Linked DNA regions of Tamandua tetradactyla. Each later gene encodes a partner of the first gene's protein in a complex. Links are inferred from orthologs where the notes say so. Each region holds a gene or a part of one and is shown in the gene's direction. Other genes may lie near its edges. The genes, in order: GTF2F2, GTF2H4, GTF2F1 and POLR2C.

Region 1 (7,507 bases):
TAGTTTACAAAGTTCTAAGGCCAAGAAAATGTTCCAATTAGAACAAGTCGATAGAAATGTCCAATCAAAGGTATCCAGGGAAAGATACTTTGGTTCAAGAAGGCTGATGAAGTTCAAGGTCTCTCTCTCAAGTGAGAAAGCACATGGTGAACACAGTCACAGTTTCTCTCTCGGCTGGAAGGGTACATGGCAAGCACGGCGTCATCTACTAGCTTTCTCTCCTGGCTTCCTGTTTCATGAAGCTCCCTGGAAGGCGTTTTCCTTCTTCATCTCCAAAGGTCACTGGCTATGGACTGTCTGCTTTGTGGTGTGGCAACATTCTCTACTCTCTCCAAATCTCCTTCATTCTCCAAAATGTTACCTCTTTTATAGGACTCCAGAAATTTATCAAAATCCACCCAAATGGGTGGAGATAGGTTGTCACCTAATCCAGCTTAACAACCACTCTTGATTTAATCATATCTCCAGGGAGATGATCTGATTACAGTTTCAAACATACAGTATTGAATAGGGATTATTCTGCCTTTACAAAATGGGATTTAGATTAAAACATGGCTTTTCTAGGGGACATACATCCTTTCAAAAGAGCACAGGCATCCAGGGAAAGATACCATGGTTCAAGAAGACCAATGAAGTTCAGGTTTTCTCTCCCAAGTGAGAAGGCACACGGCGAACACAGTCAGAGTTTCTCTCTCATCTGAAATGGCACATGGTGAACACACATCATCTGCTAGCTTCTTCTCCTGGCTTCCTGTCTCATGAAGCTCCCCAGGAGGCATTTTCCTTCTTCATCTCCAAAAGTCAGTGGCTGGTGGATTCTGCTTCTCGTGGCTATGTCATTCTGCTCTGCTCTCTCTGAATCTCCCATTCTCCAAAATGTTTCCTCTTTTATAGGACTTCAGAAACTAATCAAGACCACCCACATGGGTGGAGACATGCCTCTACCTAATCCAGTTTAACAACCACTCTTGATTAAATCACATCTCCGGGGAGATGATCTAATTACAGTTTCAAACATACAATACTGAATAGGGATTAGAAGAAATGGCTGCCTTTACAAAATGGGATTAGGATTAAAACATGGCTTTTCTAGGGTATATACATCCTTTCAAACCAGCACAGTGATGAATATACAACTATGTGATGATATTAAATGATTCATTGATTATATGTGAAGAATGATTGTACATATGTTAAGAATGTTCATGTTTGTATGTTGTTATGTTTGTCAATAAAAAAATTTTTTTTTTTTTAATTTACCACTGAAGGTTCCCACTTTTGATTATGCTTTACATTTCAGTGAATCTGGTCATCACTTATTTAAACTCGTTTCTACCTATTTGGGCGCCAATTCTAGGCTTATATCTGAAATTCTCTCCTTCCTTGCCTGCAGGATTGGTTAGAGCTGTCCTGCAGCCGTTTCCTGCACTATCTTTTGTGAAAGCTAAACCTCATTTTATTCTTGCAACACCTCTTCTGGCCTTGCCCATCTCATTTGATGACAACTTCAACCTTCCAATTTCTCAGGAAAAATTTAGATCCAACTTTGAATTCTCTCTTACACATCCCATATCCAATCCACCAAGAAAGCCTGTGGGCTCTGCCTTTTAAAAAAAGGTATGTTCAAGGACTTTAACAAATATAAAGCAAGGAAAAATATAAGGGACCCATAATTTCAATAAAATGTTGAAGATAGCAACTGAGGCGGTTTAGACACACGAAAAACATCTTGCAGGCCTCTGAGGCAGGAGGAGGGCATCTTCCTAAAATCTGAGGAGGTTGAGCAAAAACAGGATACTTTGTTCAAGCACAGGGCATAGACCAATCACAATAACCCATTTACAATTTTTAACTTGAAAGTCTAGAAAGCTTATCACAATAGCCTATTTACAATCCTTAATTTAAATGTTTAGTAACCAATCACAATGTACCAATATCCCAAACCCCACCTCCCTCTGTTTAATCTGATAAACCCTTATGCCAAACAACTTGCCCAAGTTTCTCCCCTGAGCATGCATGTGTTCCATGCACCCATATGCTCTCCTTTCAAGTGTGTACTTTGTTTTTCTTCAATAAACTTTTCTCACTTGCTTATACCTGCATGTCTCATCCTTGAATTCCTCCTTGCGGCGAGACATCCAGCCTGGAACCAGGCTTGAATGACCTCTGACAACAGCAACCGGTTACAATAGATGGACCTTACTTAAATCTTCATTTAAGTCAGCCAACTGGATATTTCATTTTAGGAGTGATAGTATGGTTAGTCTTTTTTTGTTTGCTTTTGTTTTTTAAGAAATATGGATGAAATCTAGAATTTGCTTGAACATATTTGAGGTGGGCTTCGGATGGGGTTCTAAATTAAACAAAATTTCCCATGAGTTGATGTTCTAGTTAGCTAGCTGCTGGAATGCAGTATACCAGAAACAGAATGGCTTTTAAAAAGGGGGATTTAATAAATTGCTAGTTTACAGTTCTAAGGCCGAGAAAATGTCGCAATTACAACAAGTCCACAGAGATGTCCAATCAAAGGCATCCAGGGAAAGATACCTTGGTTGAACAATGCCGATAAAGTTCAGGGTTTCTCTCTCAAGTGAGAAGGCACATGGCAAACGCAGTCACAGTTTCTCTCTCATCTCAGAAAGGCACATGGTGAACACGGTGTCATCTGCTAGCTTTCTCTCCTGGCTTCCTATTTCATGAAGCTCCCCGGGAGGCATTTTCCTTCATCTCCAAAGGTCGTTGGCTTGTGGACTCTCTGCTTTGTGATGCTGCAGCATTCTCTGCTCTCTCTGAATCTCTTTCATTCTCTAAAATGTTTCCTCTTTCATAGAACTCCAGAAACTAATCAAGACCCACCCAAATGGGCAGAGACATGTCATCACCTAATCCATCTTAACAACCACTCTTGATTATATCACATCTCCAGGGAGATGATCTGATTACAGTTTCAAACATACAACGCTGAATAGGGAGTAGAAGAAATGGCTGCCTTTACAAAATGGGATTAGGATTAAAACATGGCTTTTCTAGGGTACGTACATCATTTCAAACCAGCACAGTTGATAATTACTGAAGTTGGATGATGGAGGTTATTGTTGTATTGCTACATTCATAAACTTTTGAAATTTTCCATAATGTAGAAAGTAAGAAAAGCTTGGGTAAAACACACACACATACACACACACAGAACAAACAAAACTTAAAGTAGTTTCTTTTATCTACTTGTCCTTTATATACTTTTAGACCCCTTCCCAAGCTGTGACACAAGAAAAGAACCTTTTTTTCTAACACACTGCTCCCATCTTTCCTATTAGTTTTCCCAGGTGACTTCAGAGACCTGATAGTCTTCCAGGCCCTGTGCAGAGAGACATGGAATTATTTTTGTGCATGACTCAATGCGTGGTTTAATACACTACTTGCCATTCTTACATCTTACTGTTTGTTTTTCTCCAGCAAATGTTCATTCAAGCAAAGGCTACTGAGATCTGACAATGTGTCAAACACTGTGCTAGACGTTATGAATATAAAAATGAATAAAATGCTATTTCTGTCTAGGAAGAGCTCATAGTCTAGAAAGCAAAGGCAGACATGTAAACGTATATTTCAGTGCAGTATGCTAATACCACACACTGTAATATGAAAAACGAACTTTCTCTGGGGGAGTTTGATAAAAGGTCTCATAGAAAGTGACACTTCCATCAGTCTTGAAAGATTAAGTAGGAGCTTGCCAAGCAGGGGACAGCAATGCGAGTGGGCGTGAGGGAAGAATAGGACATCAAATGGAAGGGAATTAGAGCCTCTGAAATGATTGCCGAAGATCCTGTCATATTCACAGAGGTCTGCTAGGTTCTGCGTGGTTGAATGTTTGGTGGAGAGGAGTGGCAGGAGGTGAGAAGGAATCAAATTGGGGAGGCCCATGCGGCAGAGAGGATGGAATTTTATTCTAGAGGCAAGAGAGACAGGAAACTGTTGAAGCTGGGAAATTAAAAAACTAGGCTTGTCTCTCACATGTCCACACTGTTTTTGACCTAATTATATATATGAGGTCCGGGTTTTGGAGCCTTCAAGGTGTGCCTTCACTGCTCAGTCAGAGGTTCCTAGAACAGCCTCTTAAGTTGAGACACTCTTCTTTTCAGGTTTAGAAACGGCACGTTTTCAGTATACCCAGGGTTAATCAGTCCCATCTCAGGGCTCACGTGTGCTAATTCGCGTCCCAGAAACTTTGAACACCAGTGCAAATTTACTATTATGCGCACCCTGCCCAGCAATTTTCTGACTCTCTCTCCTTAACCAGGGTTGGACATAAACTGGCAGCTTTTGTCTCGCTGAACTCCATTTTTCTGCTTTGACATAGTCTTTGAAGGTTTGCTAGCGTTTTGGCCCGACCCACTTCTTTAAACCGCTCAAGACACCACCAGCTCCACGACCATTCACCGGCCACGCTCATCCAAGAGGCCCGCCCATCTGACGCGGATTTTTGCCTGCAGCAGCACGCCGTACTGACGTCAGCAGTGCGCAGGCGCAGTTCTGGTCACCAGAGGCGTGTTTCTCTTTCCTCGGGTTCCCTGCTTCCTGGCTGGTGGGCGATCCCGGCATTTCGCACTCTCACTCCCTCCGCGGCTCGACCTTTGCTCCGGCGCACGCCTCCATCGGTGACCGAGCCATGGCGGAGCGCGGCGAACTCGACCTGACCGGCGCCAAACAGAATACGGGAGTGTGGCTGGTCAAGGTACTGTTCGCTTGGCTCCCGCCTGCGTTTCTTCTAGTAGAAATTGTTTAAGTCACTTGAGACAGTCCCACTCCGTGCAGCCTTTAAAGTCCTTTTATGACCATCTTATTAGAATTTCGCATACCTGAAGAGGCAGGAGTTAAGACGTTCGTTTGTAGACGGAGGTGCTCAGAGAGACATAGTGTCGTTTCAGTCAGTTAGGAGTTGGCTCCTGCCTGGAATGCGTCTCCCTTCCCCACGAACTGGCTTGCCCTGGGACCTGTCTTGGTGTCCACGACTTCAGCTTTCTCTCTTAGTGAAACCAGTGTTAGTCTAGAGTCAGCATACTGAATTTAAGAAACTGCTTTCTTAATCTTCTGTACGGTCTTCTTAGCTAGAAAGAAAACTGGTCCCTGCATACCCTTGAAAGTGTTCTTTTTAGTCGGCGGCGTCTTGATGGAGAGCACCGAACACATGGGAGAAGAGGCTATCGATGGCTGGAGTTTCTTTTTTTTAATTAGAGAATTTTGGGTTTACAGAAAAATCGTGCATAAAATGCAGGATTCTTATATACACCCCACCACCACCACCCGTACTTTGCATTAAGAGTTTTATCGTCAAGTCCATGGTTTAATTTAGTATTCTGTTTCTGTAAGCAGTTCCATGGATTAAAAAAAAAGTTTTATTGTTACGTTATATACAATCTCACATTCCCCTTTGAATCATATTCAGCCATACATTTCAGTGCTGTTAATTGATTTAACAGTGGTGTTGTATCATCACTACCATCCATTATCAAAACATTTCCATCATTCCGAATAGGAACCCTGGGCATTTTAAGCCTTAACTTCCTGCCCACCCAGTCCCTTGGTAACCTATGTTCTAGATTCTGACTCTGTGTGTTTGCTTATTCTAATTGTTTCAAAACGGTGAGATCATACACTATTTGTCCTTTTGTGTCTGGCTTATTTCATTCAGCCTGTTGTCTTCAGGGTTTGTCCATGTTGTCATATGTATCAGGGCTTCATTCCTTTCTACGGCTGAATAATATTCCATGTTTGTATATACCACATTTTGTTTATCTGTTCATTGGTGGATGGACTCTTGAGTTGCTGCCATCTTTTGGCAATTATGAATAATGCTGCTATGAACAAGAGTGCAAATGTCTGTTCCTGTCCCCGCTTTCAGTTCTTTTGGTATATACCTAGTAATGGGATTCTGGAGTAGTATGATAGTTCTGTACTTAGCTTTCTGAGAAACTGCCAAACTGTCTTCCTCAGTGGCTGCACCATTTTACATCGCCACCAGCAATAAATGAACGTTCCTAGGACTGGTTGCTTCTTTTAGGGCACTTAACGGGTGTGGTGAAATTGACAGTAAGTGTTTTTTTTAACGACTGTTTCATGTTTGGGCTACATCATTTGCAGTCAGTAGCCCTTAGAAAGCACAGTATTTGTGTTTGACTTGTTTTTATTGGGGAGTGTTGTCTCTTGGAGTTTCAGAAGACATAGGCATGTTCAAAATATGAACATGACATTCTTTGAGCCTTACATAAAATGTAGGGATGTTTGGTTTGTTAATACGTGAGGGACTTGTCACATGGATGAGTCCTCATCAATTAAGTTTCAGAGAGCTCCTTCCTGTCCACTCCTTTAAGCCCTTTTATGGTCATTTGTGAGCATGTCAAACCTGTATTATAGTCATCAAAGCACTGGGCATGGTCTAAAATTATCCCCCTCCCCCAACACACAATCACATTCTGTGAAAAGCATCCTTACCTATTCTGGGTATCCTTGCATGTTACCCAGAATAGTGTTTGGCACATGTAATCACTTAAAAAATATTTGGTGAGTGAATGAATGAATGCATGATCTCTCTTTCCTTGCCCTAGTCTGTGGCACTCTTTTGACTTATTTCCCGGCCACATCAGTATGACTTAAAAGGCTAGAGTAAACAGCCATTTGTCATTCAAACTGCATGCTAAACGGAGGAGATTCTTTAAGGAGAAGCTCTCTCTTGTTGGATGAAGAAGAGAACTTGAAAAAGTTGTGGATCTTGATGTGTCTGTGCTTGGAGCACACTAAATGTTTTGTGTTACAGAATTTAGATTGGTGAACAGAGATAGGACATAGTATACCCTGAAGATCAGAGCAGAAACGTGAAGCTGAAAATGCATTTTAATGTGATATGTTTTGGAAAACGAAGAGGAGATCATTATGCCTAGAGCAGAGAGTGTCCATGAAAAAAAAGTTGGGAGGTTGGAACCATGTATCTAGATTGTCATATCATGAAATGGGGTTGTTTTGGTCTATATGAAGTGATGGATCTTTGGAGAGTTTTGAGTAAGTTAGGAATGCAAAGCATTCTTTTAGGAAAAGGTAAGCTTAACAGTGTCCAGTAGGAATTAGAGGGGGAAGGTGACCAGAGTGAAAATTGGAAAGTTTTTGCAGTAAAATAGGTATGAGATGATGAGATCTGATGAGTAAGGGAAACTTTCAGTAAAAGTTGTTGGGATTTGATGACTGACAAAATGAATGTGAAAGAATGTAATGAGTATAAAATTGAAGAACTAAAAATATTTTTGGTGTTTTCCCATCTAAGCCCATTTGAATACACTTTATCTTTTAAAACGAACTCAAGCCAATGATTTATTCTTATTTTATAGATAGTTGTAATGTTTTGATTATTTTTTTATTTGCCGAATCATTAATCTCTTGTATCAACTTGGCATGCGTTTTTTTCGTTTTTCTAATTTTATGGATGAAGAAAGTGAATGGACTTGCAAATATATCTTTCAGG
Region 2 (6,822 bases), on another chromosome or scaffold:
TCTTTTAAATATATTTAATATTAACATCCAGCAGGAGTTGTGCTAACTGCTGACATTTTCATGTGCCCATGAGCATGAAGAATATTTTGAGAGTTCCACAACAGCTGTAATGAGATATAAAAATACCTGTGATGTCCTATTAGTGACAAGCCACAGGTACTGATTTTCAGTGGGGTTTTCTATGTTCATAATTGAAGGAAGTGTTTCAGTCAGAGGTTAGGAAAAACAAAGGTGTAACCTTTTTTTCTTACCCAAATTCTAGGACCCTCTCAGGATCTGGGAGGTCCAGGTGAAGTCCAGCCTAATTTAGATTAGGCTGATGAACTGTACAAATAGCCCAATAGGTTCGAACTGTTTGGATAGAAGCCAGAACCCAGAGCCTAAATTATCTCAGAGGCCTGGAAGGATGAGTCACAACCACCAAGAGAGCATTTAACAAAGAGTACAGATTTGGCTGGAAAGGGAGGAGGTAAAAAAATAATAATAAATAAAAAAAAAACAGCCACCAAAAATAGTTGCAAGTATCGGACTGGGCAGACACGTATTGCTAGCAGTTCATGAGAAATAAAGACCCTGGGGTATTTGGTTGATGCTATTCTCAAAGCGAGTCAACTGGATAATGAGCACACCAATAAAAGATACTTTAGTCTTACGTTGAATGAACAGGCTCTCGGGGGTCAGGTCTAACAGTCCTACTGAAACCTACACAGGTCAGACCACTGTGTACCACAATTTAAGACGGGCGCCCACAGGTTGGAGTTTCAAGGCCAGACCCAGAACGGCGAGCAATGGAAGCCATAGCGGTAAGCCTGGAACTCTCTTTTGAGCTCTAGACCTCAATAACCACCTGAAGTTTATTTGAATGTCAATTTCAGCATGTCCAAACCTGTTCCTCCTCCCTGGTTTCTTGACTCAGTAAATCATCATCCACTCAACTGGACAAGCCAGAAACCAGGCAGTTCTTCTTAACACCTCCTCCCCCCTTACTCTCACTTCCCAAGTCCAGTCTGTCCATGAAGACTTGTTGATTATGCTGCCCCAGTTTCCCTTTAACTCATTCATTTCCCACCATCTCCATCATTGTCCCGACACGGGCTACCGCCCTCTTGCCTGAACCGCTGCAGTCTCCTAGCCGGTCACCCCCAGATCTGCTCCTGTTCCGCTGTGGTTTCCTTTTGGCACTGCAGCCAGAGTAATTAAAAAACAAAACAAAACACACATGTCCGACTCTGCTCCTTTATTTCAAAACCATTGATCTTAGAATAAAAAATAACATCTTCTGGCCAAGTGTGGGCCACACACACCTACCTCTCTAGAGTCCTTCTCTGACCTCTCCTCTAGGCATCCCTAGCCTTCTTTCAGCTCTTCCAACATGTCACAGTTCCTCCTGCCCAGAGCCTTTGTAGCATGCTATTCCTTCAGCTGGACCGTGCCTGCTGTCTTTGTCCTGTTAACTTCTACTTGCCCTTCAGCAGCCGTACCTCACCTCCCTAACCAGGTCAAATCCTCTACTGATACTCTCAGAGCCCATCAATCTCTTCTTTGTAGCACTTTTACAGGTGCGATTTTACATGTATTTGTGCACATATACTTTCTTATACCTGCCTTTCCCACTAGACTAAGCTCCACAAGGGCAAGTTCAGTAAATACTGGTTGAAAGGTATCAGTAAATACTGGTTGAAAGAAAGAACTTTTGTCAAATATCTAAAGGTTAATATAAGGGATTGGATTACTCTGTGTAGCTAGGGAACCAGGGTCAATACGTGAAAGTTATAGAAATCAGTAATGATGATGAATATTTGTTAGGTATCCTACTTATTTCACAATGAAGAGTATTAGGTTAAGCAACATGCCTAAACTTGCATAGCCAGCAGATGGCGGCACTGGGTGGGAAGCATGCTAAAGGGTGGCTCTATGTTCTTTCTGTCCAGGAAGCTGTCTGTTGGGAGGAGGTTGTGAGCTCTCCATAGCAGGGCATTTCCAAGCACAGACTGGACAACCCTCTATCAGGGAGCTCCTTCCACAATTTCAGCCCCCAGGCCCCCTGTCAGGCCCAGCAAGCTGATTTTCTTCCTTAAGTTCAGTTCCAGGAACAGTTATGTGCTCAGTTCCTGCCACTGGACATCTTGCCCTCACCCACTGCATCCCGTAGAGCAGGGCTCGCCAAGAGGTCTGCCCAGTTGGCCTTTGTCTGCTCCCTCCAAAACGAACCAAATGGCCTTTCAGTTTTACACATGCCTAAAATCTGTTTACAAAGGTGCCATTAATTTATGTACACCATTTTGTAATCTGCTTTTCTCCCCTTGCTGATAGGCCATAGATAGCTCCAGGCCACTAAATATACCTGGCCTCCTTTCAAAGTGTTGCCCAGTATCTTACATTGTTGGGACTATGCACGTTTTATATAACCGACCCCGAGGGCAGACATCTGGGTTGTTTCCATTGCTTTCATAATACAACAACAAACATGCCTCACTAAACATCTCTGCATGTATATTCCTGCACCCATGTGGGAGAACTTCAGTGTGATATATCCTTAAAGCTGGAGTTGCTAAGTCACATTAAAATATTGCTAGATACTGCCACATTACCCTTAAAAAGGCGTGCATATGCCAATCTTCAACACAAGTGTATGTGTATGCTCTTACATCCTGGCCAGCACTGACGTTGTCAACCCTTAACTTCATTTTTTTCCTAATCTGACATTTTATTGTCTCTTTAATTTACCATATTTTGTTTCATAATTTACTTTTCCTTAATTACTAGTGAAGCTGCAAATTGTTCCTCTATTTATAAGGCATTTGTATTTCTTCTGCTTTTTGCCTGTTCCTCTCTTTTGCAGATCTTTTCATTGCACTGTTCCTTTTTCTTACTGCTCTGTAAGTTTTCTGCATTTTATCTGTTTTATCAAACATTTCTTCCCAGGCTATAATTTGTATTTTGACTTTCTTTACCTTGTGCCATAAAGAAGCTTTATCAGTTCTCTGTCATGCTTTGAGGATTTTAAACACTGACTGCCACAGAAACAGGGAACAAGAAGATAACATGTACCAGCTGCAAAGGCTAACGAAGTCTTAGGCTGTCCTTAGCATTTTGGTCTTCGGTCCCTCGCTTCCTTGTAAACGCGTCTCAAAACCCAGCCTCATCACTTCGTAGCTGTCTCATACGTGGGCAAATTTCTTCATCTCGCTGAGCTTGGGTTTTCTCGTCTGTAAAGTGGAAAGAACAAAGGTCGCCTCACAGAAACTTGGGGAAACGCGTAGCTCTGGTCTCGACTGAAGACATTCCTTTCCCTTTCCCTGCAGTAGGTTCGAAAATCAAATCAGAGCAAACGACTGGCTTCTTTAAGAAATTGTATTTATCAGGACCTTCTAATAAACGGTGTAAGCGTGGTGGAGGTGGAAATTAAGATTTACATGCCAAGTAAGGCGTAATGGGTCGTGTTAACACCTAACTCGCGAAAACACTTTAGGAGTGTGCTTTATGACAATTTTAGGGGGGTGTAAATGAGCTCAAGGAACCCAGTTTCGTGTATCTATAAGCCTAAGCGTCTCACCGCCGCCGCATCTCAGCGCGCTTCCTCCAAGCGGCCCATCTACTCCCGGGTCCCGCCTCCCGCTAAGGCCGGTGAGCAGCGCCGTTATCAGCGTGGGCGGAGTGAGCAGCGGAACCAATCGGCCCGGCCTGGCGTCCTCGGCTCTCTCCATTAAAACCAGCCTCTCCCCGGCTCGCTTCTCCGCGGTGCCTGTCGGGAGTTGTAGTCATGCGCGTGCGAGCCCGATGGGAGCGAGCGAGGACCAGACTCCAATTCCCAGCATGCCCCGCGACAGGCGGGTGCAGCACTTATTCTTGCCTTTCCACTTTTCCACTCCTCTTCTGAATCCGTCCCTCTCGGCTCCTGTCTGTGGAGTCTTTCGTTCTTCTCCCCATTTTTTTTTTCTCGTATTTTTCACCATTCTTTCCCCTATTCCCAGGAGCTACTGCGAAACATTGGCTCCGATTAAGCGACCGCTCGAGACTCGGGGTGCACGAGGTGGGATCAACAAAGTGGTGAGGCAGCCCTGGGAAGGTGGGGTGGCGGAGGTATCAGGCAGAGTTGGGTGAAAGGCGCGGAGTGGGAGGAAAGTAGAGGAAAAGTTAGGACATAGGACGGTGTGGGGTCAGAGTGAATGGGGTGAAAGAGACTTGGGGGGGAGGGAGAAAGGTGGAATTCGATTGGCGAGACATGGAGGGCAGAGGTAGTTTATTGTGATGCTTAGCAAGAGACGCAGGGCGAAGAAATAGAAGGTGGGAAGGACTGACAGATTTGCATCTCACAGGTTGATCTGGCCAGGAGGGGCTGGGATGAAAGCAAATCGGGCTCAACTGCTCAATTAAAGATAAGACAAGTCATTGAAATACAAAATGATCATTAATTCTGTCACCTGGAAACAGAGAAGACTGAAGTTGAGGACAGAAGTGGGTTGAGGAGGCAGGAAAGGAGAGGAGGCTGGTCAGATTTTGAAGTAACATGAGATGAGTGGCATATGGAAGAGGGAGCCACAGAAAACCTGGGTTATTTAGGGTGGGGGTAGGGGTGGAGGGATCTGGAATTCTGATGAGAAAGGTGAGGGGAGACATAGTCATGGATGGTGGGGATGTGCTTCTAATATTTGGCGTCTCTCAGGTGATGGAGAGCACCCCCACACGGGGTGGACTGAACCGAGTACACCTACAATGCCGGAACCTGCAGGAATTCTTAGGGGGTTTGAGCCCAGGGGTATTGGACCGATTGTATGGGCACCCTGCCACCTGTCTGGCTGTCTTCAGGTGAGGACCTCTTCATGGCAAGGACCATGGTGGGGAAATGTAATGGGAGCCTGCAGACTGGAATAAGTTAACCCTGAGGGTTCTTGGAGATTACTCCAAAGGGTGGCAGACCAAAACGAATGGACTTTTGAGATTTGGGGGGCACCGGCACTTGTAAGGACTTGTATTTGTGTGTGTAAGGAGGTGAGATGAAATATTTGAGAGGTTCTTGGAGGCAATTATAGATATAAATCAGCTTCTGATGATAACATTTGACCTCTACTTTCTACAGGGAGCTCCCATCTTTAGCTAAGAACTGGGTTATGCGTATGCTCTTTCTGGAACAGCCTTTACCACAAGCTGCTGTAGCCCTGTGGGTGAAGAAGGAATTTAGCAAGTGAGTTTCCAATGCATCCTCAGATAGATACACATTTCTTTTTTTTTTATTTTTTATTTTTTTTTATTTTTTATTAACGGAAAAAAAAAAAGAAATTAACACAACATTTAGAAATCATACCATTCTACATATGCACTCAGTAATCCTTAACATCATCACATAGATGCATGATCATTGTTTCTTAGTACATTTGCATCGGTTTAGAGGAACTAGCAACACAACAGAAAAAGATATAAAATGTTAATGTAAAGAAAAGAAATAAAAGTAGTAGTAATAGTAAAAAAAAACAACAACAAACAAACCAACAAGCAAACAAAAACAAAAAAAACCCTATAGCTCAGATGCAGCTTCATTCAGTATTTTAACATGATTACTTTACAATTAGGTATTATTGTGCTGTCCATTTTTGAGTTTTTGTATCTAGTCCTGTTGCACAGTCTGTATCCCTTCAGCTTCAATTACCCATTGTCTTACCCTGTTTCTAACTCCTGCTGAACTCTGTTACCAATGACATATTTCAAGTTTATTCTCGAATGTCTGTTCACATCAGTGGGACCATACAGTATTTGTCCTTTAGTTTTTGGCTGGATTCACTCAGCATAATATTCTCTAGGTCCATCCATGTTATTACATGGTTCATAAGTTTATCTTGTCTTAAAGCTGCATAATATTCCATCGTATGTATATACCACAGTTTGTTTAGCCACTCTTCTGTTGATGGAGATTTTGGCTGTTTCCATCTCTTTGCAATTGCAAACAACGCTGCTATAAACATTGGTGTGCAAATGTCCGTTTGTGTCTTTGCCCTTAAGTCCTTTGAGTAGATACCTAGCAATGGTATTGCTGGGTCGTATGGCAATTCTATATTCAGCTTTTTGAGGAACCGCCAAACTGCCTTCCACAGTGGTTGCACCCTTTGACATTCCCACCAACAGTGGATAAGTGTGCCTCTTTCTCCGCATCCTCTCCAGCACTTGTCATTTTCTGTTTTGTTGATAATGGCCATTCTGGTGGGTGTGAGATGATATCTCATTGTGGTTTTGATTTGCATTTCTCTAATGGCCAGGGACATTGAGCATCTCTTCATGTGCCTCTTGGCCATCCGTATTTCCTCTTCTGAGAGGTGTCTGTTCAAGTCTTTTTCCCATTTTGTAATTGGGTTGGCTGTCTTTTTGTTGTTGAGATGAACAATCTCTTTATAAATTCTGGATACTAGACCTTTATCTGATATGTCGTTTCCAAATATTGTCTCCCATTGTGTAGGCTGTCTTTCTACTTTCTTGATGAAGTTCTCTGATGCACAAAAGTGTTTAATTTTGAGGAGCTCCCATTTATTTATTTCCTTCTTCAGTGTTCTTGCTTTAGGTTTAAGGTCCATAAAACCACCTCCAGTTGTAAGATTCATAAGATATCTCCCAACATTTTCCTCTATCTAGATACACATTTCTTAACAGCTGTATTTCCCGAACTGCTGTTTCTTGGGTCACTTCCAGGAAATATTAATGGGTATACTACAAAATTCATAATTAAGTAATTTTAAGAAACTCTGCCTACTGTATTTTTCTTCTTGGCAATAGAGCAAGTCATGACATGTATAGACTTTTAAGTCTTATAGTAAAGGAAATTTATAGTAAAGA
Region 3 (8,006 bases), on another chromosome or scaffold:
ATCTGTTCACATGTGCTGCCCGAGGCTCGGGGAATGGAGTCATTTGCTGGAACTTCATGTGCAGGAAGTGGCAGAGGGTGACCTGAGCCCAAGTATGGCTCCCCTCAGGGCAATGTCAAGACAGGGCATCCGGAGACCTGAGTTCTGACCTGTGCTCCCCACCTGGGTAAGTTTTCCTTCTTGGGTCTCAATTTCTCCCTCTGAAAAATAAGGTTGTCAGTCTCCCTGGAACAGAGATCATGTCCAACCTTGGCTTTCTATGAATCTTCCTCTGATGAGGTCTTCAGTGTACAGTGAGAGCAAGAATCGTGAACAGAATAAGCGCACACTTCTAAGCATTGTGTTCTTAAGTGACGAGATTTCTATCTGGACATCCATCTTCAAGCCAGGCCAGCATACTGCACCAAACAAAGTCAGCCTTAAAACAGCAGCTGCGTGAACCAAGCGGGATCAGCGATGGTGCTTCCCAGTTTGTGCAGCTGGATTGAAGGGCCGAGCTGGATGGCTCCAGGGATGCTTTCCTGCTTAGAACCTGTCCAGTCTGATGACCCTTAGGTAGAGGGGCCAGGCCGACGATGGAGACCTAGAAAGTTCTCCACGTCCACAAAGCAAACGCTAGCAGAATGGACAGCCCTGTTCATCTCTGGTCTTCTCACTTTGGCAGCCACACATTCCTCTTTCAATTGAAACAAGCCTGCATGATAGTAAGTGAACAGGTGACCCCTGGGCTCGGTGCTCGAGTGAGAGCTGGGAGGGGGTCACCGTGGCAAAGGGAGAAGGCCCAGCCTGTGCACGGCTGCTTGGGGGTGTGGTTAAGAGCATGTAATTGGGAACTGGACTGCTTGGGCTTCCATTCCGCCTTCACAAACACTTAGACTGTGTGACCCTGGACACGGTCCGAGATCCTCTTGTGGAAAGGCAGTATGGGGACTAGAGCCATCCCTGACGGTGACAATTCAGCCATGCCAAGCGTAGAGAACAGTGCCGGCCCAGCCAGCACTCAAGACGCGTCCCCGTCCCTGTTGCCAGGGGGACGCATTGCCAAGTCAGCCGGCTTTTTTTCAAGAAATGTGATCTGAGATCTCCCAGTTTCTGAAGGTTCACTAAGAATTCAAGAACAAGGCTGTCTAGTCCCAAATGGATGCATCTGTGGATCAAATGGGTAGGTTGTAGGTTCTGTCTAGACTCTGCAGCCACTGTGGGGTCCATGCAGCTGGCAATTATGATGGGAAACCTATTTAAGGCCAGAACTTGGCCCTGAGGCCATGGAGGGCAGAAAATGGCTCAGCCAGCCCTGTGCTCTCCTGGAGTCTCCATCCAGGAGGGAGGGAGCCCAAGATCTGCCCTTTAACTTCATCACAAGTCGTCTGGTGTAACTGCTTGAATGGAGACAGGGACACAGGGCAGCACCCCACTGCTCTGTGACCTTTGATTGCATCAACACATCCAGACCACTTTGAAGGGAATTTAACCAGAATCGACACCCGCTGTAGTTTCCCTCTTCCTGCTACCCATTTCCAAATGGAATCAGAACAATCCCAGATGCTCCTGCCCTCAGCCTCCCCGTTCAGAGGCTCAGATGGATCCTTTCATGGAGTCAGTGTCCACAGGTAAAATTAACCTGAAGAAATCCACTCCAATGTCCTCTGTCCCTTCCCTTCCCCGCCTCTGCCTGGGTCGCTATTCCACCACCTCTGGGGCTGCTTCCAACTCCATCCCTCCACTCCTGGGCACCCCCCAGACCACCTAAACTTAGAGAGCCCACTCCCATCCCTCCAGGATTCATTCTGCTTTCTGTTCCCCACTGCCCTCATCCCTTCCAGAAGTTTCTTTGTTTTGTTTTGCACGTATTGCTGGGCGCCTGATGTCCCCACTGGAATGGCAGCATCTTAAAAGCAGGGCCCATGTTCCTCCTCTTGGCCTTTGTCCCCAGGCCCGAGGACAGCACCTGTTCTCAAGAACTATTTGGGAATGGGTGGTTGAATAGATGAAGGAGTGGTGATTTACATCCCATCCTGTGCCCTAAAGATGATACAAACTCAGTGGGGAACTATTTTATCTACTGGGTTCCAGGAGCTCTGGAGGAAAACAGTGAGAGGCCCTCAGAGAGCTCACTCAGGTTCTAGAAACTTCCCCACAACCTGACTGTCCCTTGATAACACATTTCCCTTCGGTCTCCTCTGCCGAGTCTCACTCTGTTGCCCTCGGCTTGCCCTCACACACACATACACGTGCTTTTGGGGTCACTCACAATGCACTCAAACTCCTTGGCCTGCTGCAGTTCCCGAAGGAAGCCATCAATGAGGAAGCCCTGGCTGTCCGGGCAGGACAGCAAGTTGTCGCTGACCATGTCCAGGATGATGCCCTGCGAAGGAAGCAGGTGGATCTGGTGTTTGGGGTGGGGCAGGGGGGCCCTTCCCTGCACCCACCACCCTGGGAGAACTTTTTTTATATGATCACTTTGATGGGGTGACACCTACCCTGCCCAGTGGCCTCTGAAACCCACTTCTGAGGATGGGCACCCCCCCCACACTGTTGACTGGGTGGGTGTCAGTCCAGGTGTGCTGGGTCCCATATGATTGAAATAACAATATCTCGAGGTGGGTCCTGGTGTTACAGAGGGGGTCCGGGGTCCACCCAAGGCCACAGAGGGAATAAGGCCCAGATGATTTTATGGAAAGCTTCCTAAGTGCCAGGAACTTCTGCTCAGTGCTTCAGAGGAGTGACCCACGCCTTCGGACATGGGTCCAGTCGGTCAAACCTGTCTCCCAGATGAGGAAACGGAGGCTCAAGGCAGGCCAAGCAAGGGCTGGGAGCCACGGCCACCTGGGAGGTCTGCCTGGTGCACCCCCTCCTGCCCTGACCCTTGCCCATGAGCTCTCACCGTGGGCACCAAGAGCCCCTGCAACATGATGTCACGGATCTGCCGGCCCCGCTGAGTGCCCCGCTGCGCCTCCTGCCGCAGCAGCTGGCCCAGCCCCACGTGGCAGAAGCTATATCTGTTTGCCATATTCTTGCACTGCGTCCCTTTGCCACAGCCGGGGCCGCCCATGAAGAAGACGATGAGGGGGTCTTGAGGACACCTGTGGTGCCCAAGGAAGAGGGAGGAAGACGATTTGGGGTCTGATGGGCTGGTGAGCACCAGTGTAGCTGTGTTCACAGTTAGGGCGTGCTCTTGGGTGGCAGTGCACACAGGTCTCCTGGCATACCCTCTTTTGCCCTAGGATGGCCTCTGGGGTCCCTGGACATATCCAGGAGTATACCCAGGCACGTTATGAGTTGCTACTGCCATGGGCGGCTGTCCACGAGCAAATGAACTCGAGCAGGCCAAGCTCTTCACAGCATCTCCTTGAATCAGCCCACCAGCTCTATCATCGCATTTCACAGTTGAGGAAACTGAGGCTTGTAGAGGAGCAGGGACTCTCCCATGTCCCCAGACTCATTCCATCCTCCCCTGCCCCATCCCAGTGCCCATTTTTCTGTTCCTTTGAACATGCTGAACTCATTCCTCCCCAGGGACCTCCACCTGGAACACTGCTCCAGCTCCTTCAGGCCACACATCAGCCCAATCCTCCCCCTCTCATCCCCAGTCTCAGGACACCATTTCCTCCACAGCAGAGACCATGGCCACTAATTATTTTGCCCATTTACTTGTTCTTGTTTGTCTCCCCAGCCGGACTCTGTCCTCCATGGAGGCAAGGACTCTTTCTGTCTCGCTTATCCCTATATTTCGAGCGCTTGGCACAGTTCCTGATATATAGTCATCAGAGAGGAATAAAGTAATGCCCAAGGCTACCAGGCACATCTACGGAGCCTGTAGTTTACAGTTGCATTTTTGTGTCTTGCTCCCCTCTCCCTTTGCTTGGTAACTCTTCTGCATCCCTCGGGGCCCAGCTGAAACCTCCCATCTCTCCTGAGCAGGGAGTTGGTTTTGCTCAGTCCCCCAAACAGCGCAGCACACAGTCGGAGCAGGTGGACCAACGAATGAATGGCTGCGTGGTGAGCATGCGCGGTCGGCGGAGGCGGGGAGACCGCGCATCTGCACTTCCCTCCTCAGTTCCCTTCCCCTGCCCCCAGAAAGCTAACCACCCCAGCTGTTACCCTTCTCCTGGGGCCTCAGGGTCCTGCCCATTTTGGGCAGCTTGGACTTGCACAGACCCATCCCGTCAGCCGCCAGAGGGGTGGTCGCTACCCATCCCTACCCAGGGCCTGACCCCTCCTGGCTAGGCTCGACGTCACAAGGGCTCCCTGGTCCGACCATCTTCCGGGATGAGGGGGTTCCCCGGGGGCAGGAGGAGGAAATGAACCCCAAACAAGCCCTGGTGGAGCCGCAGTGGCTCTGCGGGATGAGTAGGCCTCGGCTGCTATGGTAACAAGGATTCGATGGATTCACTTCCGGAGATGACGCGTGCGCAAGGCGCCTGGGACTCAGCGAGGAGGGAGACCCCCTTTCCCTACCCAGAATGCCCCGCGGCCATTAAGGGGTGACGTCGATGGGGAGGGCGTTCCCAGCCGCAGTGATTGAATCAGTCGCGCCTCTTTCTATATATAGATAGTGGAAAACCAGAGCGCGAGCGGCAGAAGGTGCTGCATTGAGTTCAACTCGGTCTAGAAAGAGAAGGGATAAGTGTCAGCAAGTGTAGGGGCCCGCGAACCAGGAGGCGGTTGCCATCGCGACACGGGGCCACGGAAAGTTTCGCTTCCAGGTCAGGCGGCGGCGCAGGCGCAGACGGGCGGGAGTGGGCCGGCGGCGCTGAGGACTTGGGGTCTTCTGTCAGCGACCGCTTCCCGCGACTAAGAGGACTGCTTCCCCGAAGGCTGAAGGACGCGAACCTCGGGGGAGGCAAGAAGGAGGAGGCCCCGACAACTTGACTGGGTCGGACGGCACCCGGACCACTGACTGTTCCCATGGCGGCCTTAGTAAGTATGCGGCGGCTTTAGGGAGTCCCGACCCGGGTCTCTTAGCAGCCCGCCCGCTCGTCATCCCACTTCCTCTCTCCACAGGGCCCCAGCAGCCAGAATGTCACTGAGTATGTCGTCCGAGTTCCTAAGTAAGTCCCAACCCCACATCCCATCTGCCTCCAGACGGGAATTACGACCTCTACGAGCTTCTAGGCGTGTCTGATTCCTTTTAGATCGGGAGCCTTTGAGGGCAGGTTGAACTGAGGTCTCTCCAGGGGCTTCTGTTGTTTTGAATGAATAAGCGGGCGATCATCACTGCACAGCATGATTCAGGCTCCTGGCCTAGCATTGGAGGCCTGTATGCTTCTCTATTCCCCGCATTCTTGCTGTAAGGACATATTTTTATCCTTTCTCCACTGGTCTGGCTTTCATTCATGTCCAGGACCTCCAGGAAGCACTCCCTGCTTGCCTCCAGCTCTGCCCCCTCCCTTGCTCACCCTACTCTCCAGAGCCAAATTCCCCCAGGTCTTTGTCCTTATTTCTGCTGTACTTTTGCCTGTGGTTGGGAGAGTGTGGATCTGGCTTCCTTGACAGACTGGAAAACCCTTAAGTCTTTTATGAGTCCCTAGCATTGCCCTGCCCAGAGGGTCAGCCCAGAAGGGTTTGTTGAATGAACAAATGTATGAATGAATGAACACTGCCTTTTTTTTTTTTTTTTTTTTTTTTTTGCCCACTCAAGAAACACAACCAAAAGGTATAATATCATGGCCTTTAATGCAGCTGATAAAGTCAACTTTGCTACTTGGAATCAGGTAAGTCCTTTGTTTGGGGGTGGGAGTAGGTGGATGAGGGAATGAGAGAACCTGATTCTAATAGCTTGGAAAGGAAGGCTGTCCTGGAGTGGAAATAAAGTGATGACTAAGGCCCAGGCAGAGCTGCTGGATGTCCGCTTAGGGGATTTGGCAGACCCTTCAGAAAGCCTTCTTCAAGGAGAATGTTTAGGAGTCATGCCCACTAATGGGCATTTTGGGCCCAGATTGTCAGGGCCAGGAAGGGACTCTGCTCTGGGCTGCCTCCTACACGTGGCTCCAGAGCCCCCTGCAGGAGAGCTTCTAGAAATGACCTTGGAAGCCATGAAAGGGTTTTTCAAACAGGCAAGTCACAGAGTTATCTAGCTGCTGGGGCTAGGGAGGCAGCACTGCGTCTGGTGAGCAAGGCTGGGAGAAAATGGAGGTGATGAGCAGTGGTTGGACTCTGATATGTTTCGGAAATAGAGCCTACAGGGTTTATTGATGGATTGCGTATTGGCCAGTGAGGGAAAGTGAGGAATCACAGATGTTTCCATTTACTAAGATAGAGAAACCTGGAGAAAGTGCAGTTTGGATGGAATATTCCAGAACTCCATTCTGGAAATTTGTATTTGTTAGATACCAAAGAGAAGATGAGAAGTTAAGCAAGCAGTTGGATATATGAGTTGGAGTTTGGGTGTGAGTGGGAGTCGGGGTGTTTAGGGTGCCACCGAGACTGGGCAGTTGAGCAGGGAGTTGGTGGAAGGTTTATAGCATTGGCAGCTTCAGGCCCTCCCACAGTTGGGCAGCTCTGATTGCATATATTGTGAGCATGGTTCTCTTTCAGCTGTTTTCAAATATTGTTTCATCCAATTGAAATAATGAAACTATATGTTCAAGATGGCTCTGAGTGATTGATTGCCCTAGAGAGCGTGTTCCAGAGAGATATGCCGTGCCTGCATCCCGGGATCTCTAGCTACAGATCTCTAGCTACCTACTTACGTACAAACTAACAAGGTCAAACTAACATGCTTTCCACCCCCTACCTGGTCCATTCCCCCCATCCCAGCCTAGTCTGTCATCTGATACAGTGTTTCTAAATCCCTTATCACTGGGGGAGGGGGGCTTCTGCACTAATCATCCAGGAGAGAGATGTAGGGGCACCCTTCTCCCAAATCCCTAATCACCAAGAGGAAGTCCTCACTGGTTACCTGGGAACATTACCCTTAGTCCTTCATCAACCAGAGGGCTGCCCTTCCCTACCCCCATCCCCGAGCACCTAGAGAACTTTACACCTTTGGAGGAGCTGTGCTCCTAAACACCAGTCACTTTGAGGAGGTGCTACCCCAACACTGATCTTTCAGGGACAGCACTTGAGAAGTCAGCATTATGCAAGGTGCATGACCTCCCGACCACTAGAAACTCGGGGTTCTGCGTACCCCATTCATTGATCGCCATGGAGAAGCATGCCCCCACCACTGATTGCCCTGGAGGACTCCTTGTTTCTAATCTGGGAGATGAGGCACCACCACCCCCCCCCCAAAATCTAATCATTCCATTGCCGAGGGTACTGCTTCTAAAGAAATATCATTGTTCAGGGTACCCTCCTCTAAAAAAACTAATGAGGAGTGGGCAAAACTGCACCCCTTGGAAGAAACCAATCTCCTGGAGTAGATGCCCCCTTAATCACTGTTTTAGTTTGCTAAAACTGCCAAAGGCAATGTACCAGAAATGAGTTCGGTTTTACAATGGGGATTTATTAATTTACAAGTTTAAAGTATGAAAATGTCCAAATCATGATGTTTTCTCCCCATTGACTGATGATCCTCAGTTCCTCTGTCACATGGCGAGGCATGTGGCTGGCATCTGCTGGCCCTTCTTTTTCAGGTTTCCTTGCTTTCAGTTACTGTCTGCTCAGACTGTGGCTTTCTTTCTGAGTTTCTGTGTGCTTCTCTTTTAGCTTCTGTCCCTCTTAGCTTGTGTCTGATTCTGAATGTCATTTCTTATGTAGGACTCCAGTAAGAAGTTTTCAGACCCACTTGGGGCATACCTCAACTAAAATAACCTACTCACAAGGCCCCCACCTGCAATAGGTCTACACCCATGGAAATAAATTAGCTTTAAAAACGTGATCTTTTCTGGGATATGTACCATCACATTCACTCATCACCCCAAGAATGGGGTGGTTACAGCTCTCCAAATGCTGTCAGCCACAAGGGACAGCCCCTTTCCTGACACTTAACCACCCCCAGGCAACACTGGGGTAGAAACTACCCCCAGACACATTCATTCAGCAATAGTTCCTTGAAACTGTCT
Region 4 (7,299 bases), on another chromosome or scaffold:
CCCTATTATTAACATTTTTCATTAGTGTGCTACCTTTGTTATAATTGATGAATCAAAATTATTTAATTATATCGTTAATTAAAGGCCGCAATTTACATTACGGCTCATTCTTTGTGTTGTACAGTTTTATGAGGGATTTTTTGTTAATTGTGGTAACATATATACAATATAAGAATTTCCCTTTTAACTACTTTGCAGCCTACAATTCAGTGATTTTAATTACCTTCACAATGCTGTGCTACCATCAACACTGGAGATAATACATTTTATTAAAGTAAAGAACATTGGGCTTTTTTCCCAGCAGCTTCAGAAGCCACATATGTGACCCAGACTTGAGGGTGGAGGGGAAAGGATGAAGGCCTATCATTTAAGGACTTGAAAATAACTAGGGTTTAATATTAGCAAGAGTGGAAAGATAGGACATTCTTAATACACTCTCAATGAAATTCGTAGAATCTAGTGGACAATCTGACTATAAAAATCTGCATAGTTGATTCAATTAAATAAAAATGTATTCAAAAAGATCACTTTTAAATCAGATTAACAAAGAATAAAATGTTTGATAATATCCATGTTGCCAAGAAATGGTGTTCTAGTTTGCTAGCTGCCGGAATGCAATATACCAGAAACAGAATGGCTTTTAAAAGGGGAATTTAATAAGTTGCTAGTTTACAGTTCTAAGGCCAAGAAAATGTCCCAATTAAAATAAGTCTATAGAAACGTCCAATCAAAGGCATCCAGGGAAAGATAACATTGATTCAAGAAGGCCAATGAAGTTTCTCAAGTGGAAGGCACATGGCGAACACGGTCAGGGTTTCTCTCATCTGGAAGGGCATGTGGCGAACAGGACGTCATCTGCTAGCTTTCTCTCCTGACTTCCTGCTTCAGGAAGCTCCCCAGGAGGCATTTTCCTTCTTCATCTCCAAAGGTTGCTGGCTGGTGGACTCTGCTTGTTGTGGCTATGTCATTCTACTCTGCTCTCTCTGAATCTCCCTTTCTCCAAAATGTTTCCTCTCTTATAGAATACCAGTAAACTAATCAAGACCCACCTGAATGGGTGGAGATGGGCCGCCACCTAATCCAGTTTAACAACTGCTCTTGATTAAATCACATCTCCAGGAAGATGATCTAATTACAGTTTCAAACATACAATACTAAATAGGGATTAGAAGAAATGGCTGCCTTTACAAAGTGGAATTAGGATTAAAACGGCTTTTCTAGGGTACATACATCCTTTCAAATCGGCAAAGATGGAAAATCAGGAAATAACATCATGAGGGGATTTACTGGAGATTATTTGGTCATATTTATCAAAAATGTATTCATACCTTTTGAGCAGTTTCAGGTGAAGGAATTTGTTTAACTGGTACTTAACTGTGGAAAAGGATGTTCATACAGCCCTATATATAAAAGTAAAAAACTAGCCACACCCTTAATGTCCATCATTATAGAACTGATCAAATAATTATATTTTTATATGATGTAAAGAATTATATAAAAGGAACAAGTTGATTTGTATGTACTGATCCTACACACTTTGGAAGGCTCTATAAGAAATTTAGGTTTTCCAATTTATTTCCACAGAATAGCACTTCCAAATGTGTGTTTTTTTATTTAACCGAGAAGGCACAGGCTGTATTAATTTCCTGTGGCTTTCTAAACAAATAATCACAGGCTTTGTGGTTTAAAACAACAGAAACTTGTGCTGTCAAAGTTCTGGAAGCCAGAAGTCTAAAATCAAGGTGTCCACAGGGCGTGCTTGCTCCAGAGGTTCTTGGGAGGTTCTGCCCTTTACCTCCTCCATCTTCAAGTAGCTATTGGCATTCTTTAGCCTGTGACTGCATAACTCCAACCTTTGCCTGCACCTTCACATTGCCTTATTTGTGTGTGTCTTCTCTGTGTGTTATCAGGACACTTGTCATTGGATTTAGGACCCACTGGATAACTCAGAATGATCTCTTCTTAAAATCCTTAACCTAGTTATATTAACAAAGACAAATACGATATTCACAGGTTCCAGTGATTAGGATGTGGACATATCTTTTGTAAGGGCCCCCATTCAGCCTCACTAGACAGGTCATGGAGCTAGGGCCCTCAAGCTCTTCCTCTCAATCTCAGGAAGAGGTCTCATTTCTTTTATTAAAATAAGGAGCATTAACTTTTGTCTTTTGTTTTCAGCAATTTGAGAAGCCACTAGAGGGGAAGGGATAGGGTACAGACCTGTCATTCAAGTATACTTTGCTAAAGTATTCTCATTACTAAAGCATACTTTCATTTTCCATAGAGGTTAAAAATTTACTTCTGTCTTCTTATGGGCTTCACTTTATTCTTATGTATTTAACCAAGTCTCTATCAACAGACAATTGGTTTTGTTTGTAATCTTTTGGCATTATAAACAACACTGCAGTGAATGTCCCTGAATATGTATCTTTACTCACAAGTGCAAATATATTCTGCTGAGGAATTCCTAAAAGTGTTATTGCTGAGTTAAAAGCTATATGCATTTGGGTCTTTTCCTAATATAACTTATGTGGACAGCTTAATCGAACACCATAGTACTTGGAACCTTGCGTAGGGCATGAGATTTTGTATGTTTGTCCAGAGTGATGTCCAGATAAATCCCAGAGCGATTTGAACAGTGAATAGGAAAGTATTTGCAGAGTTCGCTAGGGGAAATGGTGAGGAAGGGGGAAAATTCAACTTCCCCAAGTGGAGAGTTCTTGATGTTCTCACAGGCAGTAGGCGACAGCCAAAGCAATAGGCCGAGCCTCTAATCTTGGGGTTTGTTCATATGAAACTTAATCCTGCAAAGGATAGGCTAAGCCTATTTAAAATTTATAGACCTTAGAGTCACCCCCAAGAGAACCTCTTCTTTTGCTCACATGTGACCTTTCTCTCTCTTGGCCAACACAGCAAGCAAACTCACTGCCCTCCCCCTCTCTACATGGGACATGACTCCCAGTGGTGTGGACTTTCCTGGCAACATGGGACAGAAATCCTAGAATGAGCTGGAACTCAGCATCAAGAGATTGAGAAAATCTCGACCAAAAAGGGGGGAGAGCAAAATGAGACAAAATAAAATATCAATGGCTGAGTGTTCTAGTTTGCTAGCTGTGGGAATGCAACACACCAGAGACATTGGCTTTTAATAACGGGATTTATTTCGTTAGTTCTTCAGAGGAAAGGCAGCTAACTTTCAACTGAGGTTCTTTCTTACGTGGAAAAGCACAGGGTGATCTTTGCTGGCCTTCTCTCCAGACCTCTGGGTTCCAACAACCTTCTCCAGGGTGATTTCTTTCTGCATCTCCAAAGGCCTGGGCTGAGCTGTGAGTGCTGAGATGAAGTATATGAGCTACTTGGGCTGTGCTACCTTGAGCGCTCTCATTTAAGCACCAGCCAATTAAATCAAACATCATTCATTGCAGCAGGCACACCGCCTAGCCGACTGCAGATGTAATCAGCAACAGATGAGGTTCACATGCCATTGGCTCATGTCCACAGCAATAGATCTAGGCATGTTCACCTGGCCAAGCTGACAAGTGAATCTAACTACCACACTGAGAGATTCCAAACAGAGTTGAGGGGCTATCCTGGAGTTTATTCTTACACATTAAATAGATATCACCTGTTTAGTTAACGTGTAATGGAGAGGCTGGAGGGAACTGCCTGAAAATGTGGAGCTGTGCTCCAGTGGCGGGCCGTGTTTCTTGAAGATAATTGTATGATGATATGGCTGTCGCAGTGTGACTGTGTGGTTGTGAAAGCCTGTGTCTGATGCTCCTTTTATCTACGGTATGGACAGATGAGTAAAACATATGGATTAAAAATAAATAAGGGGGAACAAATGTTAAATTTAGTAGATTGAAATGCTGGTGATCGGTGAAGGGAAGGGGTAAGGGGTATGGTATGTATGAATTTTTTTCTGTTTTCTTTTTATTGTTTTTTCGGAATTGATGCGGAATCAAGAAATGATCATGATTATGAATGTACAACTATGTGGTGATAGTGTGAGTTATTGATTATATAACAAGAACGGAATGATCATATGATAAGAATGTTTGTGTTTGTATGCGGTTATGTATCATAAATAAATTAATTTTTTTAAAGCTATATACATTCAGGACTGGGGGCAATGTCAAATTTCCCTGCGAAATGAACCTGGTGCGTTTTGAAGCAGTTGGATTTACAAAAACTTCCTTCGATAGTCAGGCCCGGAGCAGTTTTGGTCTCCGAACAGCAGGAGACGCTGTGAGCGCGTCTTAGCGGAAGTAGCCGGGGCCTGCAGGCGACTTCCGGTATGGGCGGCCGCTGAGACGCCGCGGAGCTGACGGCAGAGGCTGGGCCGGCTGCGAGGCGCAATGCCGTACGCCAACCAGCCCACGGTGCGAATCACCGAGCTCACGGACGAGAATGTCAAGTTCATCATTGAGAATACGGACTTGGCGTAAGACTGCGGAGGGAAGAGACTGAAGGCTCTAGTGCTAGAGTGTCCCAGGGAGGGGAGGCTGGGGACCTCGTATCCTTCCAGAACTGGCACCTCCTGTGCCAGGGTCTTCGCTTGGGAAGTGGGGCCGGCCGTGGCGGCGCCTTCACCCTGCTTCATTTTCCCTCCTCAGGGTGGCTAATTCTATTCGGAGGGTCTTCATCGCCGAGGTGCCTATAATAGGTAAGCGACTTGGCCACATTGCCTCTCCACCCATGGGGCTTCTGCTGCAAACCCTTGGGTGAGGCTGGGGGTAAGGGTGGGGTATAGCTGGGAGCACTGAGAAAACAGCAATGCTGGAGACTTACCTAACCCCATGTCCTTGGCCTGGCCACTGTTGGTCACTTCCCTGACTCTCACGGGTCACTTAGGTCCACCGTTCCATATACACTGGCATTTAGAGGGGACAGACTCGATTTCTGCTCTGGTTTTCCAGGTACTTGATATATTGACAAGTATACTACAGAATTTTCTGAGTGTCTGCTCCCAGAGTTTTGCTTAAGCAAAAGAAGAATGTTATAGGTACTGCATCAGTGTGCAGTCTATTGTGAAATGAACAGGCCAAGTGATAAGCCACAATGTTATTTTGTGGCTTATCTCCCACCTCGGCACCAATCACTTCTTCAACTCAGAGCATGGAGTGCTAGTTGGACTTAATGATACAGCCTGAATTCTGAGTCTAAATGCCACTTGTTCCACAAATTCAATTCTGCAAATATTGGGTACTTCCTACAGTCCAAGCCACAGCCAAGAATACAAAGGTTAAGGTATCTCAAGACTCTACTGCAAAGAATTTTCAAAGCTAGAAGTAGAGTCAAGGTGCACACAAATAAAATACAAGGCAAAATATGATAAATGCCTTGAGAGGTTTGGACAGTTTTTTGAGTGAGTTCAAAGGGAGAGAGTGATTGCTTATGTCTCATGGAAGGCAGGCAAGGCTAGGGTTTTGGAGAATCAGGATTTCAGCAGGCAGAGGGGAGGGTAAGGGTATATCAGGGGGAGTAATGAGGCAGAAACAGAACAGCTTGGGTTATGGTCCTTTTTCGGCTGAAGCAAATGGCTTGGGTTGGGGAAGCAGTAGAAAGCATAGCAGGACAAAGGAAGTCAGGGCTGGCTAGGGCTGGCCTTCTTCTGACCCCATTCCTCATGTTTAGGCCCTTCATTTGAATGAATGAACGTGTGTTTAAACAAGTATATGTGAGAATAGAGCCCTTTTCCTCCCACTAGCTCATTAGAAGGTATGGGGTTCTATACTTAGTATGCCTTGTCTGTTGAGGAATTCAGTTAACATGAATTGATTTAATAAAGTGCAAAATTGGGTGAACTGGTCACTAGTTCATAAACTGAGATAAGGGCCATAAGTCTGTGTTACTTCTGTGAGGTTTTACCCAATTTTTAAATGTCCAAATAATTTGTGTTTTTGGAATTCATGTTCCCATGGGTAGCAAATTAGTGCTTCTCATGAAAGTATTCAGCACAAAGAAATATGTTCCCACTCCCAGTCTCTAAGACAATGTTTTGTTTTTGTGATAACAAAGACCCCTTTGCATTACATTCACCGTGTGTCTTGTTAAAATGAAGATTCCTGGGCCACTCTAGAGCTGTAGGATCAGTCTCTGGCAGCCTGGCCAAGGCACCTATGATATAATAAATAGCAGGTGATTTCTAAATCTCACAAACCACTACTCTTAATTCTGTAGCTGAATTTGGTGGCTAAACTGCATCTCTGTTTCCTTCACTTTTAGCCATTGACTGGGTACAGATTGATGCCAATTCCTCAGTCCTTCATGATGAGTTCATTGCTCACAGGCTTGGTGAGTGTTGGGTTTGGGTGTTGGAGGGTGCAGTGCCTGGTAGAAACCTTACTTGCATCCATCGTGGCATCTTCTAGGTTCCCTTTTGGGTTGGCTGCTTAGCCTTTAAAGTGTTTTTTTTGTGTTTTCCAGGATTGATTCCCCTCACAAGTGACGACATTGTGGAAAAGCTACAGAACTCCCGGGTATGCTTTGTGGTTGAATAAAAGGGGAGGCAGAGTGGGAGATGCCTACCTACAGTTCTCAGAGTGGTTTTGCCCAACAGTCTGGATATGTCAAGAACCTGAGACAGGGCTTGGTCCTCAATTCTGACAGGGCTTCAGATTCAGTAGGCTCAGGGGGCATCAGGAAGTCCCATTAGGTAGCCACACAAGAGGATAGTATATACCCCAGAATGCTCATTTATACTGAAGAGTGAGGGCTGTATCTTCTCAGAGTCTGAGCTATTCAGACTCTGTATTCCAGGGCCTCTCTTCCCAGTGACGGAGGCTTAGGAGGCTAAAGGAAGTCAATGGGAAGTTGGGATGGTGAAGGAGAGGAGCAGAAGGATTGGGAGCTGTCCCACAAGAACTGCACCTGAGGGACTGGCTATTCGTGTCTGCCAGGTTCATGCCCCTCCCCCGCAGGTGCTGCAGGTTTGCTCTCTACCTGTACGTTTGCTCTCCCAGAGGATGCAGTAAAAGGTCTTTGTCAGACTGGGGATAGAGTGGGATTGGGTTGGGTTCCCTTCACTAGGGCTGCATTAGGTAATTTGAGACTATTAGCTCATGATGTCTTTGGGTGATCCTGAATTGACCCTTTTCTAATATTCCCAAGGGCATGTCATTTCTGCGGTGGCTAATTCAATATATCTTGTAAGTCTATATGTATTTTTAAAAAGACATTCAAACATCCAGAAAACTATGGAGGTAGTTTAACAAATGAAGATGTTCCTATTAATTAATGTCCCATCATAACATTTTGCCATATTTACTTCACATCTCCAGATTTTTTTAAAGAAAT

What was found.
Region 2: GTF2F2 (region 1) and GTF2H4 share a complex: the UniProt entries of both Homo sapiens proteins name them as parts of the TBP-based Pol II pre-initiation complex. The link is inferred for Tamandua tetradactyla from reciprocal best matches to the Homo sapiens genes GTF2F2 and GTF2H4.
Region 3: GTF2F2 (region 1) and GTF2F1 share a complex: the UniProt entries of both Homo sapiens proteins name them as parts of the TBP-based Pol II pre-initiation complex. The link is inferred for Tamandua tetradactyla from reciprocal best matches to the Homo sapiens genes GTF2F2 and GTF2F1.
Region 4: GTF2F2 (region 1) and POLR2C share a complex: the UniProt entries of both Homo sapiens proteins name them as parts of the TBP-based Pol II pre-initiation complex. The link is inferred for Tamandua tetradactyla from reciprocal best matches to the Homo sapiens genes GTF2F2 and POLR2C.

The regions. Positions count from the first base shown.
Region 1 is NC_135330.1:113,744,435-113,751,941, reverse strand, and holds the start of GTF2F2 (general transcription factor IIF subunit 2), read left to right. Parts: upstream 1-4,506; 5' UTR 4,507-4,663; coding exon 4,664-4,729; intron 4,730-7,507. UniProt on the Homo sapiens protein: TFIIF is a general transcription initiation factor that binds to RNA polymerase II and helps to recruit it to the initiation complex in collaboration with TFIIB.
Region 2 is NC_135331.1:85,837,106-85,843,927, forward strand, and holds the start of GTF2H4 (general transcription factor IIH subunit 4), read left to right. Parts: upstream 1-3,802; 5' UTR 3,803-3,816; coding exon 3,817-4,050; intron 4,051-4,666; coding exon 4,667-4,809; intron 4,810-5,080; coding exon 5,081-5,185; intron 5,186-6,822. UniProt on the Homo sapiens protein: Component of the general transcription and DNA repair factor IIH (TFIIH) core complex, which is involved in general and transcription-coupled nucleotide excision repair (NER) of damaged DNA and, when complexed to CAK, in RNA transcription by RNA polymerase II.
Region 3 is NC_135337.1:75,641,720-75,649,725, forward strand, and holds the start of GTF2F1 (general transcription factor IIF subunit 1), read left to right. Parts: upstream 1-5,051; intron 5,052-5,135; 5' UTR 5,136-5,195; coding exon 5,196-5,290; intron 5,291-5,641; coding exon 5,642-5,714; intron 5,715-8,006. UniProt on the Homo sapiens protein: TFIIF is a general transcription initiation factor that binds to RNA polymerase II and helps to recruit it to the initiation complex in collaboration with TFIIB. It promotes transcription elongation.
Region 4 is NC_135342.1:51,142,293-51,149,591, forward strand, and holds the start of POLR2C (DNA-directed RNA polymerase II subunit RPB3), read left to right. Parts: upstream 1-4,281; 5' UTR 4,282-4,358; coding exon 4,359-4,444; intron 4,445-4,616; coding exon 4,617-4,666; intron 4,667-6,228; coding exon 6,229-6,297; intron 6,298-6,429; coding exon 6,430-6,482; intron 6,483-7,299. UniProt on the Homo sapiens protein: Core component of RNA polymerase II (Pol II), a DNA-dependent RNA polymerase which synthesizes mRNA precursors and many functional non-coding RNAs using the four ribonucleoside triphosphates as substrates.